Elephas maximus indicus: one gene and its partner. Each later gene encodes a partner of the first gene's protein in a complex. Links are inferred from orthologs where the notes say so. Each region holds a gene or a part of one and is shown on either strand. Other genes may lie near its edges.

Evidence for each region. Proteins that work in one complex are often made in the same cells at the same time.
Region 2: NUP188 (region 1) and CETN3 share a complex: the UniProt entries of both Homo sapiens proteins name them as parts of the nuclear pore complex. The link is inferred for Elephas maximus indicus from reciprocal best matches to the Homo sapiens genes NUP188 and CETN3.

What each region holds. Positions count from the first base shown.
Region 1 is NC_064827.1:79,928,695-79,936,064, reverse strand, and holds the start of NUP188 (nucleoporin NUP188), read right to left. Parts: upstream 3,009-7,370; 5' UTR 2,962-3,008; coding exon 2,930-2,961; intron 1-2,929. Other genes in the region: DOLK (dolichol kinase), read left to right, coding at 3,377-4,993; PHYHD1 (phytanoyl-CoA dioxygenase domain-containing protein 1), read right to left, coding at 7,332-7,370. UniProt on the Homo sapiens protein: Component of the nuclear pore complex (NPC), a complex required for the trafficking across the nuclear envelope. Required for proper protein transport into the nucleus.
Region 2 is NC_064820.1:97,036,338-97,043,544, forward strand, and holds the start of CETN3 (centrin-3), read right to left. Parts: upstream 3,022-7,207; 5' UTR 2,905-3,021; coding exon 2,888-2,904; intron 1,057-2,887; coding exon 921-1,056; intron 1-920. UniProt on the Homo sapiens protein: Plays a fundamental role in microtubule-organizing center structure and function. As a component of the TREX-2 complex, involved in the export of mRNAs to the cytoplasm through the nuclear pores.

The DNA.
Region 1 (7,370 bases):
AATTCATGCTGCCAGCAAGCAAAGATGTCAACTGAGGTGTTCTACAATAGCGGACCATACCCTTAACGTAGTAGCTGGCACAGATATTTGAAAGAATAAACATCAAAGAAAGGGAATGATATGGGTCCCTTTTAGGCTTGCAATCTAACTGGAACAGAAAAATCAAGAAAAACAATATATGCAGAAGTACCAACAGAAGGGAGAATAAAGGAGAAAATGGTAGAGTTATCAGGAACAAAATCTATGGAAGTAAGTCTAACTGGTTTCCTCAATACCTACATACTCACTGGCCTAGGAATAATGGGGATACAAATAAATCTAAGACCTTTATGATGCTAAGCTTAAGGGATGAGAACGGCAAAGGATATTAAATACACATTACACAATCGGCAAAAAGGAAGAAAGTACTAAACGGCATGATACTAACAACTAATACAAAGAAACTTAACCACATAGAACAGAAAAGTCAGAAGAGAGAGGGATTGCTGGGGACTGATTCAGTGATTGACAAAAGGCTTCATCTCAAATTGGGACCTAAAGGCTTGACTGAAACTTAGAACTGTGAAGCCCACCCAAGACTCGGGGAAATAGCTTCTATATATATTTCCAAGAAACTATGTGCTAATGTCTCTCATTTACATGCATAATACTCCTTTCAGCGAAGTATGTGGGGGAGACACTAAGGCACAGATTAAATAATTTGCCTCAAATTCAAAGGTAAAGTTTTAAAAACTTCACTATTTCCAGTCCAGTGTTCCAGCAAACATGGAACGTCATTCCTACAAGAGCTGAAGTTAATGGAGCCTGAAAATTATCTTCTTTAGTCATCCATCTCATTGGAAAGCTATGAGTGAAGGCTACTGGGAGTTAGAAATAACTGTTTCTACAATTCAGTCCTTTGGATAGAAAGCTGGGACACAGCCAAGCTACCTTGATGAGATATTTAATAAATAAAAGCTACCACTGCCCGTGGACGCTCTAACTTCACAGAGGAAGTATACCTCTCTTGTGTGAACTGAGATTTAAGCTCAGCAGCAAAAGCTTTCCAAATTGCAGTTCTATTTTTGTTTAGCACACCTACACCATTCAGACTAATTCAAACACTTTAACTGAAGAACGCAGGAGTTACAAGAAAAGTGCCAATATTCAAACTTTCTGCCAATTCCTGAGTGACCTTTCCAAAAGATTGATTTAAGGGTAGTATTCCTTTTTTTTTTTTTTTTTTAAACTAATGCCAGCTTGTATTAACATTCACAATGACTTTTCCTACAAAAAAAAAAAAAAGCCTCACAGCCACTTCAATACTACTCTGGAAATGATCTGCATTTGGAGAGACAGGTTCAAAATGGTGAGGTCGCTTGTCTGCAGTCATCTGCAAATCTGAGGCATCAGGAAGAGAATTAAGTTTTCTCTTAGTCCAGACCTACAGGCATTTCAGACAGAGGACTGCTGCTCAGTATAATTCCATCTGCTACTGAATGTGACTTTTGGCACACACACACAAAAAAATCACTCTCCTGATACAAGCCATGAGCAAAGCAGTGCCTAAGAACTCTAATGCCCTTTCTTCCTCCTTAGGATGAGTTTGGTAGGTTCCCCAGCATGAACAAGTCATCTTTCAGGCAAACCAATGCTTTCCTAATGTTCCTTTTCATTAAGGAACATGCTTTATTCTACAGGAGCCATAACGACTATGAAACAACCCTAAGAAAAGGAGGGCACAGTGGCTACAATGCTGTCCTGATACAATGGTTGGCATGAAACGACAGAGGAGAAAAAAGCAAACTGGTCCTCACAAGGTACAGAGGTAGTCCAGGGAAAATTCCAGAGGAGAAAAATCTCACTTTCAGCTGGGAAATTAAAGTGATGCCAGAGAAAACGGACAATATTTGTAATAAATACTAATGGCTTTTTTTTTTTTTAATTACATGCTATTCCTGGGTACGGAGGATACAGTGGGGAATACGACAAAAAAGTGGGGAAAACATTGTTGGCACTGGGAATATAAGCGCCATAACTACTTTGACTAGGGAAGGTGGGAGGGAGTAGAATGGACGAAACCTCTTCAAGGTGGAATGTGGAAGACAGGGGTGTGAAGGTTTCATTACAGTTCTGGAGTCGAACAGACTCGGATTTGAATCCTCCCTCACTTTACCCCTTAGCTAGCAGAGCGGGACTTCTGACTCATCTGTAAAGGGTACCTCACAAGAGCTGTGAGAATTCAAAAGGATCTCACCAGTGTCTGGCAAGAGCAAACCCTCTATATTGAAAACTGTATTATTCTTTTTAGCGTTTCGTCTTCTTGCTCCCAAAGCCTAGAACAGTGCCTGAAATCTCTTGGGAGATTTGAACACATCGGCTGACCGAATCAATGAGTAAAATAATGAATAGATGGGTGGATGAAAGGCTGAGCGGAGAATGAGGACAAAAACTACAAGGAGGTGGCTCTGTGCAACAAGAGAGCACATGAGGAGAACCTGAGAGGCAGGGAAGGCCCGGGACAGGTCACCGGGGGGCTGCGGCGGGGACGTGGGGGGAGGGGGAGGGAAGGAGAGGGTCCTCCAGGCGACCGCAAAGCGCCCGTTGCGCCTCGAGGTAGCGTCACAGCCAGACGAGGAAGCGCTAGTGGGGCTCCAAAGGACACACGGACGGGAAGAGGGGAAGAAGAGAAAAGGACTTGGGTGAGGAGACGGGAAGCCCAGAACTGAGGGATAAGGTGAGGAACCGGCCCTCCGCTTGGAGAAGTCCCTTCAGCTCCCCGCGCGCGGGGACCGTTTGCACGTAACCGCTTCCCGTCTCGGCGCCGTCTACCCAGCCGGGCTTCGCACCGCCACCGCCGCCACATCCCGCTCCCAATTCCCGCCCCGCTTCTGCTTAGTTTCGAGCCCGCGCCTCACAGCCAACCCCGACAACTTGGCCCGCTCCGCACCTCACACACGGCTCGCCGGCGGCCGCCGCCATCTTCCCGCGCGCGCGCCCCAGCCCCGCCCCCAGACGCGGCGCCCACGTGACCGCTCGCCTGGTACCTGACGCGTGGGGCGGAGCTTCCGTCACGTGAGTCCGGTACGGGGCGGGGCCAAGATGGCGATACCCGGGGAAGCGGAGAACCAGCGGCCAGGGTGTCCGCGGTCGTGAGGAAGGCGGCCGAGAGACGGTGTCTACTCCGTAAATTGGAGGCGGTGGAGAGTGACGGGACTCCAGCTTTCAGGCCGCAGAGAGTGACCTGCAGTGGAGTTCTGTCCTTACAACTGGAAAACGGAGGGAGAAGGTTACTGGCTGGGTGAAACCGTTGTCCTTTGCTTGGCGGTGCTGAGGGACCAAGAGTCCAAGGCGTCCCTAGTCACCCCGGCTTTCCGGGGGCCTCAAGCCTGGAGACATGACCCGAGATAGCGCTCCTCCGACCCCGGGGGCGGGAGCTCCGCTGAGCGGTTCGGTCCTGGCAGAGGCGGCAGTGGTGTTCGCCATGGTGCTGAGCATTCACGTAACCGTGTGGGACCGATACTCGTGGTGCGCTGTGGCCCTCGCAGTGCAGGCCTTCTACGTCCAATACAAGTGGGACCGGCTGCTCCAGCAAGGAGGCGCCGTCTTCCAGTTCCGAATGTCTGCCAACAGTGGACTACTGCCTGCCTCCATGGTCATGCCTTTGCTCGGACTGGTCATGAAGGAACGCTGCCAGGCTGCAGGGAACCCACACTTTGAACGTTTTGGTATCGTCGTAGCAGCCACTGGCATGGCAGTGGCCCTCTTCTCGTCAGTGTTGGCGCTGGGCATCACTCGCCCCGTGCCCACCAACACTTGCGTCATCTCGGGCTTGGCTGGAGGTGGCATCATTTACATCATGAAGCACTCGCTTAGTGTGGGTGAGGTGATTGAGGTCCTAGAGGTCCTGCTAATCTTCGTGTACCTCAACATGATCCTGCTGTACCTGCTGCCCCGCTGCTTCACCCCTGGAGAGGCAGTGCTGGTATTAGGTGGCATCAGCTTTGTGCTCAACCAGCTTATCAAGCGCTCTCTGACAGTGGTGGAAAACCAGGGGGACCCAGTGGACTTCTTCTTGTTGGTAGTGGTGGTAGGGATGGTGCTCATGGGTATCCTCTTCAGCACCCTCTTTGCCTTCATGGACTCAGGCACCTGGGCCTCCTCCATCTTCTTCCACCTCATGACCTGCGTGCTGGGCCTTGGTGTGGTCCTGCCCTGGCTGCATCGACTCATCCGCAGGAATCCCTTGCTCTGGCTCCTTCATTTCCTCTTCCAAACAGATACCCGCATCTACCTCCTAGCCTATTGGTCTCTGCTGGCCACCTTGGCCTGCCTGGTAGTGCTGTACCAGAATGCAAAGCGGTCATCTTCTGAATCCAAGAAGCACCAGGCCCCCACCATCGCCCGGAAGTATTTCCACTTCATTGTGGTAGCCACCTACATCCCAGGTATCATCTTTGACCGGCCACTGCTCTATGTGGCCGCCACTGTATGCCTGGCAGTCTTCATCTTCTTGGAGTATGTGCGCTACTTCCGCATCAAGCCCCTGGGCCACACTCTGCGGAACCTCCTGTCCCTCTTCCTGGATGAACGAGACAGTGGACCACTCATCCTGACCCACATCTACCTGCTCCTGGGCGTGTCTCTTCCCATTTGGCTGGTCCCCAGACCCTGTACACAGAAGGGTAGCTTCGGGGGAGCAAGGGCCCTAGTCCCTTACGCTGGCGTCCTGGCTGTGGGTGTAGGCGATACTGTGGCCTCTGTCTTTGGCAGCGCCATGGGAGAGATCCACTGGCCTGGAACTAAAAAGACTTTCGAGGGGACCATGACGTCTATATTTGCCCAGATCATTTCTGTAGCTCTGATCTTAATCTTTGACAGTGAAGTGGACCTAAACTACAATTATGCTTGGATTTTGGGGTCCATCAGTACTGTGTCCCTCCTAGAAGCGTACACCACACAGATAGACAATCTCCTTTTGCCTCTCTACCTCCTGATATTGCTGATGGCCTAGTTGTTGTGCAGCAGTAGTGATGGAGGAGACAGGAACATGGGGAGTGTGAATGGCCCCCACAGCAGCCAGCCACTTGGGTATGAAGAGCCAAGGGGTGAAAAGAAGATTGGACTTTTGGGTGGTTCAAATTTAAAATAAAAATCAAAGCTTTCTTGGTTTTAGTTTTGCTAATGTTAAAAAAAAAAAAAAAACAAAGAATAGTGCAGCAGCTCAAAGAATTCGAGTGTGCTGCAGACCCCCTCCCTCCACACACACACACCTAGCAGTCCTCAGAAGGGGCAGGAGTGGACACTGGAGGGAGGAAGTAGAGCATAGGGGTTAATGCTTCAGGTTCTGGTGTCAGACTAATCTGGTTAGAATCCTTGGTTGTGGCACTTAACTGTGTGGACTCAGTTCTCCTGTCTGCAAGATGAGAATTAACAGCGCATATCTCATGGGGGTGTTGTGAGGATCCAGTGAGATGAGATATGTAAAGTGTCCAGTCCAGGGCACGATGAGCAATCAGTGCGGGAAAGTGTCATTATAACCTGAGACCAGGTTCATCGTAGCAAAAAAGCCATGCGAGCCAAGGGGGCTTTATCAGTTGTACTTGGAGACCCGAGCGATCTTTACTTTTACTTCCCTGTTTCATTTGGGGTAGGAAGAACTGAAGGGGGGAGGTAGGGTCAGCTTGTTGTGTGTATGAAGAAGAGGATCAGGTCCTGCACTGATATTTTGTTTCAGCCAACCTCCTCCCCCACCCCCGCCCTCCAAGGCCTCTGCGGCCTGGCCGAGTGGTGCTGCTGAGCTGGACAGCACAGGATCTTGTCAAGGGGTCCCTCCTGAGACCCTCTCACACTCCAGTCACATCAAACCTGTCTTTGTCTCTTCCCTTGGCAGCATATTAAAGCCTTATGGGGCAGTTCTACTCTGTCCTATAGGCTCGCTATGAGCCGGAATTGACTCGACAGCACTGGGTTCTGGTTAGGACAGGTTCAGAGGGGCTGGAGGAGTTTCCTGGGAGTTCAGAATGGCTCTACTCTGGAACTCTGCCCGAGCAAGGAGCCTACACCGCAGCCTTGTGTCCCACGCAGAGAGCCTGGCACGTAAGCAGGAACTTGGTCGGCATTCGCTGAATGGATAAAAGTTTCCTATCAGCAGGAAGATAGCACAGCACATTTCATGAGGCTGAACGTCCAATCTGGTAGGGAAAGGCCTAGCACAAAGAGATGAGAACTTTGGTCCAACAAGGCCAGAAGCCAGGAGCAGAGCCAGGACCAGCTCTGGGGGAGCTTGCACTTCTGCCTGAGAATCACTGCCAAGTCCTTTCCCTCAGAGGAGGGTACCAAGACATTCCTTTAGGGCACAAAGGAGACTTAACAAATCTGTCCCTTCCTTCAGGCTCCCTTCTACTGCCTGCCAAATGGAGGCAGCATCAGCTTTGCCCCACTGATTCCCTGGGTGGTCTTGGGAGAGGGCTTTTTCCTCTGGCCTTGGTTGGTCCATGTATAGAGTGGGGGGCTACACTAAATCAGGGTCACAAACTTGCTCACCAATGTCAGCCAGGTAACAGACATGAATGAGGATGGGAAAGTGGGAACCGTGCCGGACCCAAAAGCACACATACCTCTAAAGAGGCAGCTCCAGCCAGTGGTAGCCATGTTAGTATGTGGGTCCTGTGTTATCACCTTCTGCTCATCAAAAAAGCTTAAAAGCCTGGATTTTTATGTGAAATTTCCCAATTTTTAAAAGCATTTTTAAAACACTGAAGTCCAAGCAAAACACATCTGCAGTGGCTTCGTCCTGTGGCCCCAGTGTGTGACCTCTGGGCCAGACCTAAGTCTGCAGGGACCTTCCAGCTAAGCAGGATTTGGATTTGGAAGTTGTGCCCACAGAGGGTCTGGGTACCTGCCAAACATTCATTCCCAAGCTCATCTTGAGATCAGGGCTGACTGGGAGAAAAGGACCAAGAATCCGCATTTGGAAGTTGTTTTTATTTAGTGTCTCATACAGTACAAATCAGAGTTGCACCTCAGAGGACAGAAGATAAGCCAGCAGAGAGGTGGCCAGAGCACTTTCATGCTGAGAGGCCACCTCGAGGAGGAGGATATGTTGGGGCAGGGAGAGGGCAGGGAGACAAGATCTTGGGGACGCCTCACATCTAGCCCCTGCTGCTCCTGCCACCCTCACCTCTTGCCTGCTGCCTGCTGGGCTCAGGGAACAGACACTAGCAGAGGAAAGCCCAGGAAAGAATCGACTTCGCCATTGCAGCCGGGAGGTCAGGAGAGGCAGCCTGGCATGCTGTCACTGTTTGCAGCCTCCCCTGGGAGGGGCAGTGCCCCAGTCCTGCTGAGGGCCATCAGGTGTACAGTGGTGGAAAGGGCAGCTCAGCTGTTGG
Region 2 (7,207 bases), on another chromosome or scaffold:
TAGGGTCCCAAATCAAGAGAGTAATAGCAAGAATAGAAGAAATGATCAAATGTGGGTAACTAAAAAAAGCTGTAGGAAGAGAGTTTAAGAGGACCTCAAGACTGAGAAAGCCAGACTTACAGGCCTAGTATTGCTTTTATACATTCCGTCCTGTCACTGCACAGTTCTTTCCCCTACTCAGAATTTTGTGCTTAAAAATCCCATACAAAGTTACCAAAATTAAAACCACCAAATAAACATTTATTATATTCACATACCTATGAAGGCTACTAGAAAGCCATTCAAAACTGTTTTTCTCTATAATTTGGGAACAGATAAGGGTAATGGTCGAACATGATGAACACAATGTCACTGAACTGTACATATAAATATTATTGAAATATCAAATACTTTGTTGCATATATATTTACCACAATATTTAAAACAAAAACAGTTTCCCCTTGTATGTTTATAAATAATTCTAGGCGTTAAAGTTGACATTTTTCCCCATTAACATTAGATATCACTTCTGTTGATTGCATCAGAGACAGTAGATTAAAACCTTATTACTAACATGTTAAAATTAAAAAAAAAAAACACTGAAAAAATGATTCATCAAAAAAATGGCAAGAATATAGTAAGAGCTGTTTAAATCCCATAGTTTGAAATCTTTCAATTACATGAATGAAAAATAAGTAACTGCCATAAGAATATATGCAAGGTTTCAAATACTGCTTAAAATACTATTTAAAACTCATTTTACCATGTAAAAGGGAGTTTTGAAAAGGTATGTAAGGGGTAGTATTCAGTTTTATTATAGCACTTTACTGTGAAAGCTTAAAATTGTTTCATATTTCTAAAACCAATTCAGTTAAAAATATTTAAACTATCAACAATGCAAATCATTATAACACAGACATGTATTTTAAAGGATTTATTACCTTTAACTCATGATAATCTATTGCTTCATCTTTGTCTGTATCAAATAGTTCAAACGCATCTTTAATTTCTTGCTTCTGTTCCTCAGAGAGTTCTCTTCGCTTTTTTCTCTTTGTTTTGTCTACTACAAGCTCATTTCTATGAAATGGACAGAAAAAAGTTGTTAGTCTACTCTAATTCTATTCTCTTATGCCTCTGAATTATTAAGACTGCAAAAAGACAAATAAAAAATTATCCAGTGAATGATTTTCTAAAAAGGAATTGTCTGAGCTTCTATACATTTGCCCCTTCCCAGAACCGAAGAGCGTTACAGGTTTTCGAAAGAAAAACAAAGACCTAACTTTCAGTCCTCATAGCTTTGTGTTAATTCCCGTTAATATTACTGTGGAAGCAACAACAACGGTGATTAAGAAACATTACTTTTACGTCACCCCAAACAAAAAACATTACTTTTATTAAACCCCAAACAACAAAAAAGCAAACTTTATTCATATCATCCTACAATATATAGTTAAAAAAACCTCCAAGTAAAATTCATAATTTATGAAACCATACATACTCGATTTACTTTTGAGAGTGCTTATAATTTATCCTAAAAATTACTACAAAAAAAAGTAAATAAAACCATATAATTTATCAATTAACTTACTAAAGATTTTGGCACTGCAGGTTCAAAACGTTTTTACATTACATATTGCTAATGGCTTGGCACTTTGTGATTTAATCCATTGATATTAACAAATCAACCAAAATACTGAATCTAAACATATCACGAATATTAAACGCCAAAAAGAAAAAGTACATAATACTGTGCTAATCCTATATAGATAAGATGAAGCTTCAATGGTCTTCTAGTCTCACTTAGCATGTAAATTATAAATTTCTTATAACAAATTCTGGAAAAGCTTAAAGAAAAATAAAAGCAAAATTTATTTCAAAAGCCAGAAGAAACGTCTTAAGAGACGCCAATCTTTATGTGGTCCAAATTTTCAAATGGTGATGCAACACATGTATAGACAAATCGTATAAAACTTTATAATGTAAAATCCAGTTGATTTTATTAGAACGTGTTATTCGCGCTTCCAGTTGTTTTGGTCTCTGAAATCCGCAACCAAAAAAAAAAAAAAAGAGATGGCTAGAAAGTGACCAGGAGGTGAAGCATGAGAAAGGTAAGGAAGATCTTTCTTTCACAAGAGACCAGGCTTCACACAAGCTTCGACATTCCCGGGGTCAGTCGTTACCGTCCCAAGATTCCGAGAGGACAAGTCTGCAACCGACCGACAACTGACTCAATCCAAGAATACCACAACTGCCCATTAGTAGAAAACAGCACCTTTTAGAGTGGCGTAACTACACGGGTATTTTTCTGATAAAACGTCTACATGGGGATGGTGGAGGGAGAAGCAAGTGGAGCGGGAAGGTTAAAGGCTAGAATGAAGGGAAACGAACTCAATCTAAGGAAATCTAAGATACTGTCAACTAAAGTCACTAAAACGTGTCTCCAATTATACCGCAAAGCAGGGCCCGGGGAGAAGAACAAGGAGGAGCTTTGCATTATTTCCAAAATTTATAACTGAGTGATTACGTCAGCAACTTAACAGAAGGTGGGGGCCGGAGGTTGGGATCACTGAACTCAATGAAGGATACGATACGGCCTGGTTTTTCGCAGGGACACCCAGAGCAGAAAGCCTCGCGATATTTCACTCCCTCCACGATCGCTAACACAGTAGCTGCCTCCTTGGCAGTCCAAAAACCGAAACGGGTTGACAGAAACGATCACCTTAGCCGGAACTCATCACCTACGGAACACCAAGGGCTCCTAGCGTAAGGGTTCCGCGGTCAAGAAAGTTGGCCGAGATTCCGTCCCCGCCCCGCTCCTCATCTCAAACTGCCTTCTTTCCACACGCCCACACACCCACCCCTGGGTCCCGCTCCGGGGTGTGGAGAGCATTGTCTCCTCATTACCGACCTCAGAGCTAAACTCATGTTCTCTTCCGACAGAGACGTTCCTCTCAAGAACGAGTTTAACACCCTACCAACACAGCCCGACTCGCAAAGCCCGTTCAACAGACACCAACGGCGCCAGCAGCGTCAAGGAACGCCCACAAGACAACACTTCTGAGTTGGATTGGTTGAAACTGGCTAATATCCTGCCTATTGGGGCGGGGGCCCTCACTGACTCTGTATTCTCATTGGACAGGTTTAACGTCAAACAACGAAACGTCCTTGCTCGTCCCTCCTGCAGCTCGGTCGGCCCTTTAGATTGGCCAGATGCTTTTACCCGGAATCCTTTGCGGGGCCCGGATCTGGTCGCCTCTGCGGTGTTTGGCGGTGGGGTGGGCGAATGTCCGCTTGAGAGCGCCGTGTACTGGCTGCTGTTTGGAGACGAGCTACCTCGGAAGAAAGGAAGGCAGGAGTCATGTTGCAAGCCGTCTCCCAGCTATTTAAAGGGAGCAGATGGGTGATGAGGTCAGCGAAACTTGGCGCCACTGTTTTCTTAAAATTTTGGATGGCCCAAGAGCTAGGGAGTTTAAAACCTATCCTTAAGTGCCTCCTTTTCCCTGTTGTGATTCCAGGAGGTATAAATCTGCATTTTTCCCCCCTTATATTTGTCCTAGTGATTTCAAAGCAGGTCCTATGGGTAATCACACCTCTTCTCCCCCCTCTTTCTCCTTTGAACTCCTTTGACGGGATTTGTCCACTGTGTCTCATATTATTTTCCAGGGCTGTAAACTGTTCATACACAAGGTGTTACTTTCAGTAACAAACCAAGTTTTTTGATGCTCATTTGGCTAATATGGTTACTTTTTCATCTCCCCACTATGTTGAATTTCTTGAAGGCCAGACTTGTATCTTCCATTTAACTCTAGTCCTAGCAACCTAGCACTATTTGAAGGCCATGGTAGGACTCTCACTTTTCACGTGGAGCCTGGGTTAGATTCCTGGCCAGTGCACCTCAAGCACAGTCACTATATGCCTGTTAATGGAGACATGTGTAGTTATGATGCTGAACAGATTTCAGCCAAGCTTCCAGACCAAGACCAGGAAGAAAGGCCTGGTGATCTGCTGAAAAATCATCCAGTGAAAACCCTATGGCTCATAATGATCAGATTCCATTGTGCATGGTGTCCCTATTAGTTGAGGGTGAACTCAATGCCACTAACAATCCATACACTGTCTAATGCATCAAAAATATGTGCTGCATTTCATAGAATCTTGCTGGGAAGAGTACTGAGCTAAGCTGCAAATCTCGTAAACATGAATAAAATCCTGGGAGGGAGTGTGTGAGTAAGGAAGAGAGAAAATATTTAACTTATTAACATGATATAAAGCAGTGCAGTGGTTGAGAGCTTGGCTACCAATGAAAAGGTCAGCAGTTTGAATCCACCATCACTCCTTAGAATCCCTACGGGGCAGTTCTACTCTCTCCTATAGGGTTGCTATGAGTCAGAATTGACTCAGCAGCAATGGGTTATGATATAAGGAAGGAGCCCTGGTGGTGCAGTGGTTAAGAGCTAAGTTGCTAACTGAAAGGTCGGTGGTTCAAACCCACCAGCCACTCTGCAGAACAAAAATGTCATCAGTCTGCTTCCAGAAAGATTTACAGCCTTGGAAACCCTATGGGGCAGTTCTAACCTGTCCAATAGGGTCACTATGAGTTGGAATCAACTTGACAGCAATGGGATAAAGATAAGGGATGTATATAAAGGTTTAGAGAAGGGAAAGAACACAGTAGGGCTTCTTCAGGGAGATGGCATATGTGTTAGGCTTAGAAGAATGAGCTAAATATGGACAGGTAATTAGTTGCCTGTCTTATTTATCTAGTGCTGCTATAAAAGAAATACCACAAGTGGATGGCTTTAACATACGGAAATATATTCTCTCACAGTCTAGAAGCCCAAATTCAGGATGCCAGCACCAGGGCAAGGCTTTCTCTGTCAGCTCTGGGGGAAGGTCCTTGTCATCAGTTTTCCCCTGGGTCTAGGATTTTCTTAGCACAGGGATCCAGGATCCAAAGGATGAACTGCTCCCAGCTCTTCTTTCTCAGTGGCAGGAGGTCTCTCTCCTCTCTACTCCCTTCTGTATTTTATATCTCAAAAAAGATTGGCTCAAGATACAACCTAATCCTGTAGATTGTATCCTGTCTCATTTCCATAACTGCCTATAATCCCTGCCTCATTAACGTCATAGAGGTTAGGATTTAAAACACAGAGGATAATTACATCAGATCGCAAAATGGAGGACAACCACATAATACTGGGACTCATGGCCTAGCCCCAAGTTGACACACATTTTTGTGGAACACAATTCAATCCACAACAGTGCCACTGAGTCGGTTTGAACTCATAGCACCCTGTGTATATCAGAACAAAACACTGCCCCGTTGTCTTAGTCATCTAGTGCTGCTATAACAGAAGTACCACAAGTGGATGGCTTTAACAAAGAGAAATTTATTCTCTCACAGTCTAGGAGGTTATAAGTCCAAATTCAGGGCATCAGCTCCAGAGGAAGGCTTTCTGTCTCTGTCAGCTCTAGAGGAAGGTCCTTGTCATCCATCTTCTCTTGGTCTGGTAGCATCTCAGGTGCAGGAACCCCAGGTCCAAAGGACGTGCTCTGCTCTCGGTGCTGCTTTCTTGGTGGTATGAGGTCCCCAACTCTCTGCTTGCGTCCCTTATAAAACATGGTAAAGGCCTCACCCCAGGGAAACTCCCTCCACATTGGATCAGGGAGGTGACCTGAGTAAGGATGGTGTTACAATCCCGCCCAATCCTCTTAACATAAAATTACAATCACAAAGTGGAGAACAACCGCAGAATACTGGGAATCATGGCCTAACCAGGTTAATACATTTTTGGGGGGACATAATTCAATCCATGGCACCCATCCTGCACCATCCTCACAGTCGTTGCTATGTTTGATCACATCATTGCAGCCCATTGTAAAGATAGTATAATAGAATAAAACTAAAAAACTAGGCACAGAAAGCCTAAGGTGGTGGCTTAGACTGACATGCAGAATGTCCCCCTACATCAAGTACTTTAGAAACTAAGTGAAACAGATACAGGACAACCAGGGAACCCTGATCATTAAACAGAAGGATTAAGAATTAGACTGAGCTCCAAGTGGAAGGAGAGACTGAAAGAAAACAGCACACATGGAGATATACAGATCCTCAGCACCTTGCCAGCTCGCCTGGCACAACATAGCCATCTTGAAACAAAGCGGGCAGCATTCCTGGGTAAGGAGCACAGGAAGGCAACTACATGGAGCTCACAACAGGAGGAAGAGATACTGTGCAAACAAACCGCGCAGAGGGGAGGGAGCCAGGAACTAGGAAAGGTACTACTCGCCAGTGGCAGTGCCTGAGCATTTGGCCGGGAAGCACCCACTGAATAGTAAAACCACACCCAGCCAGTCTCCATGCACTCCCCCACATTTAAATGAACCAGGCCTCAATTGCCTGGAGCAGCCAAACAAGAGCATCCCCCACACCCTTACCCACCAACTGGCGGGAGTCTGCTTCAGCTGCCTGGAGACCAGCAGGAGCACGCCCACTGCCCAGCAACCAGCAGGAGCACACCTGCCACCCGGCAACTGGCAGGAGCACCTAGGACTGCTGGACTGGTCAGAGCACACCTGCAGCCTGGAGACCAGTGGGAGCGCACCTAGTGATCGGCAGGAGCGCACCTGCATCCCAGCAACCAGCAGGAGCATGCCTGCTATACAGAGACTGGCAGGAGTGTGCCTGCATTCACTGCCCAGCAACCAGCAGAAATGCCCCCTAGCCTGCAGCCCAGCAAGTGGATGGAGAGTACCTACCACATAGTGACCAGCAGGAGCACTCCAGTGCCCATTGGCCCAGTGAGAGCATTTGTGCCTATACCCAGAGCCTATCCCCTACAAAGATGACCTTTCGTGCTCTCCAGCAGATACACTAACTACTAGCATCAACCCAGAAGTACCACATGGTCCCACAAGGGCTGCAGAGGGACCCAGACTACCCAACATTTGTGACCCAATATCAGGGAAAGAACCAGCTATACCACTTACACTCAATCAGGTAAGGGAAGACATACAAGCCTAACTACAGAGGACTCCAAGTGGGTGTGATCCACCATATCCACTAGTGAGAAAATCACTCTCAGCCAACAGACACCACCAAAGTCACACATAGAACCACAAATGGATATGAGGCCTCCTGCCCTGACCTCCAGAGAATTCAGTAACTGCTAGCACTAACCTGGTACCTTAATGCCTCAGATACAGCAGATGATATCAAACTGTATAA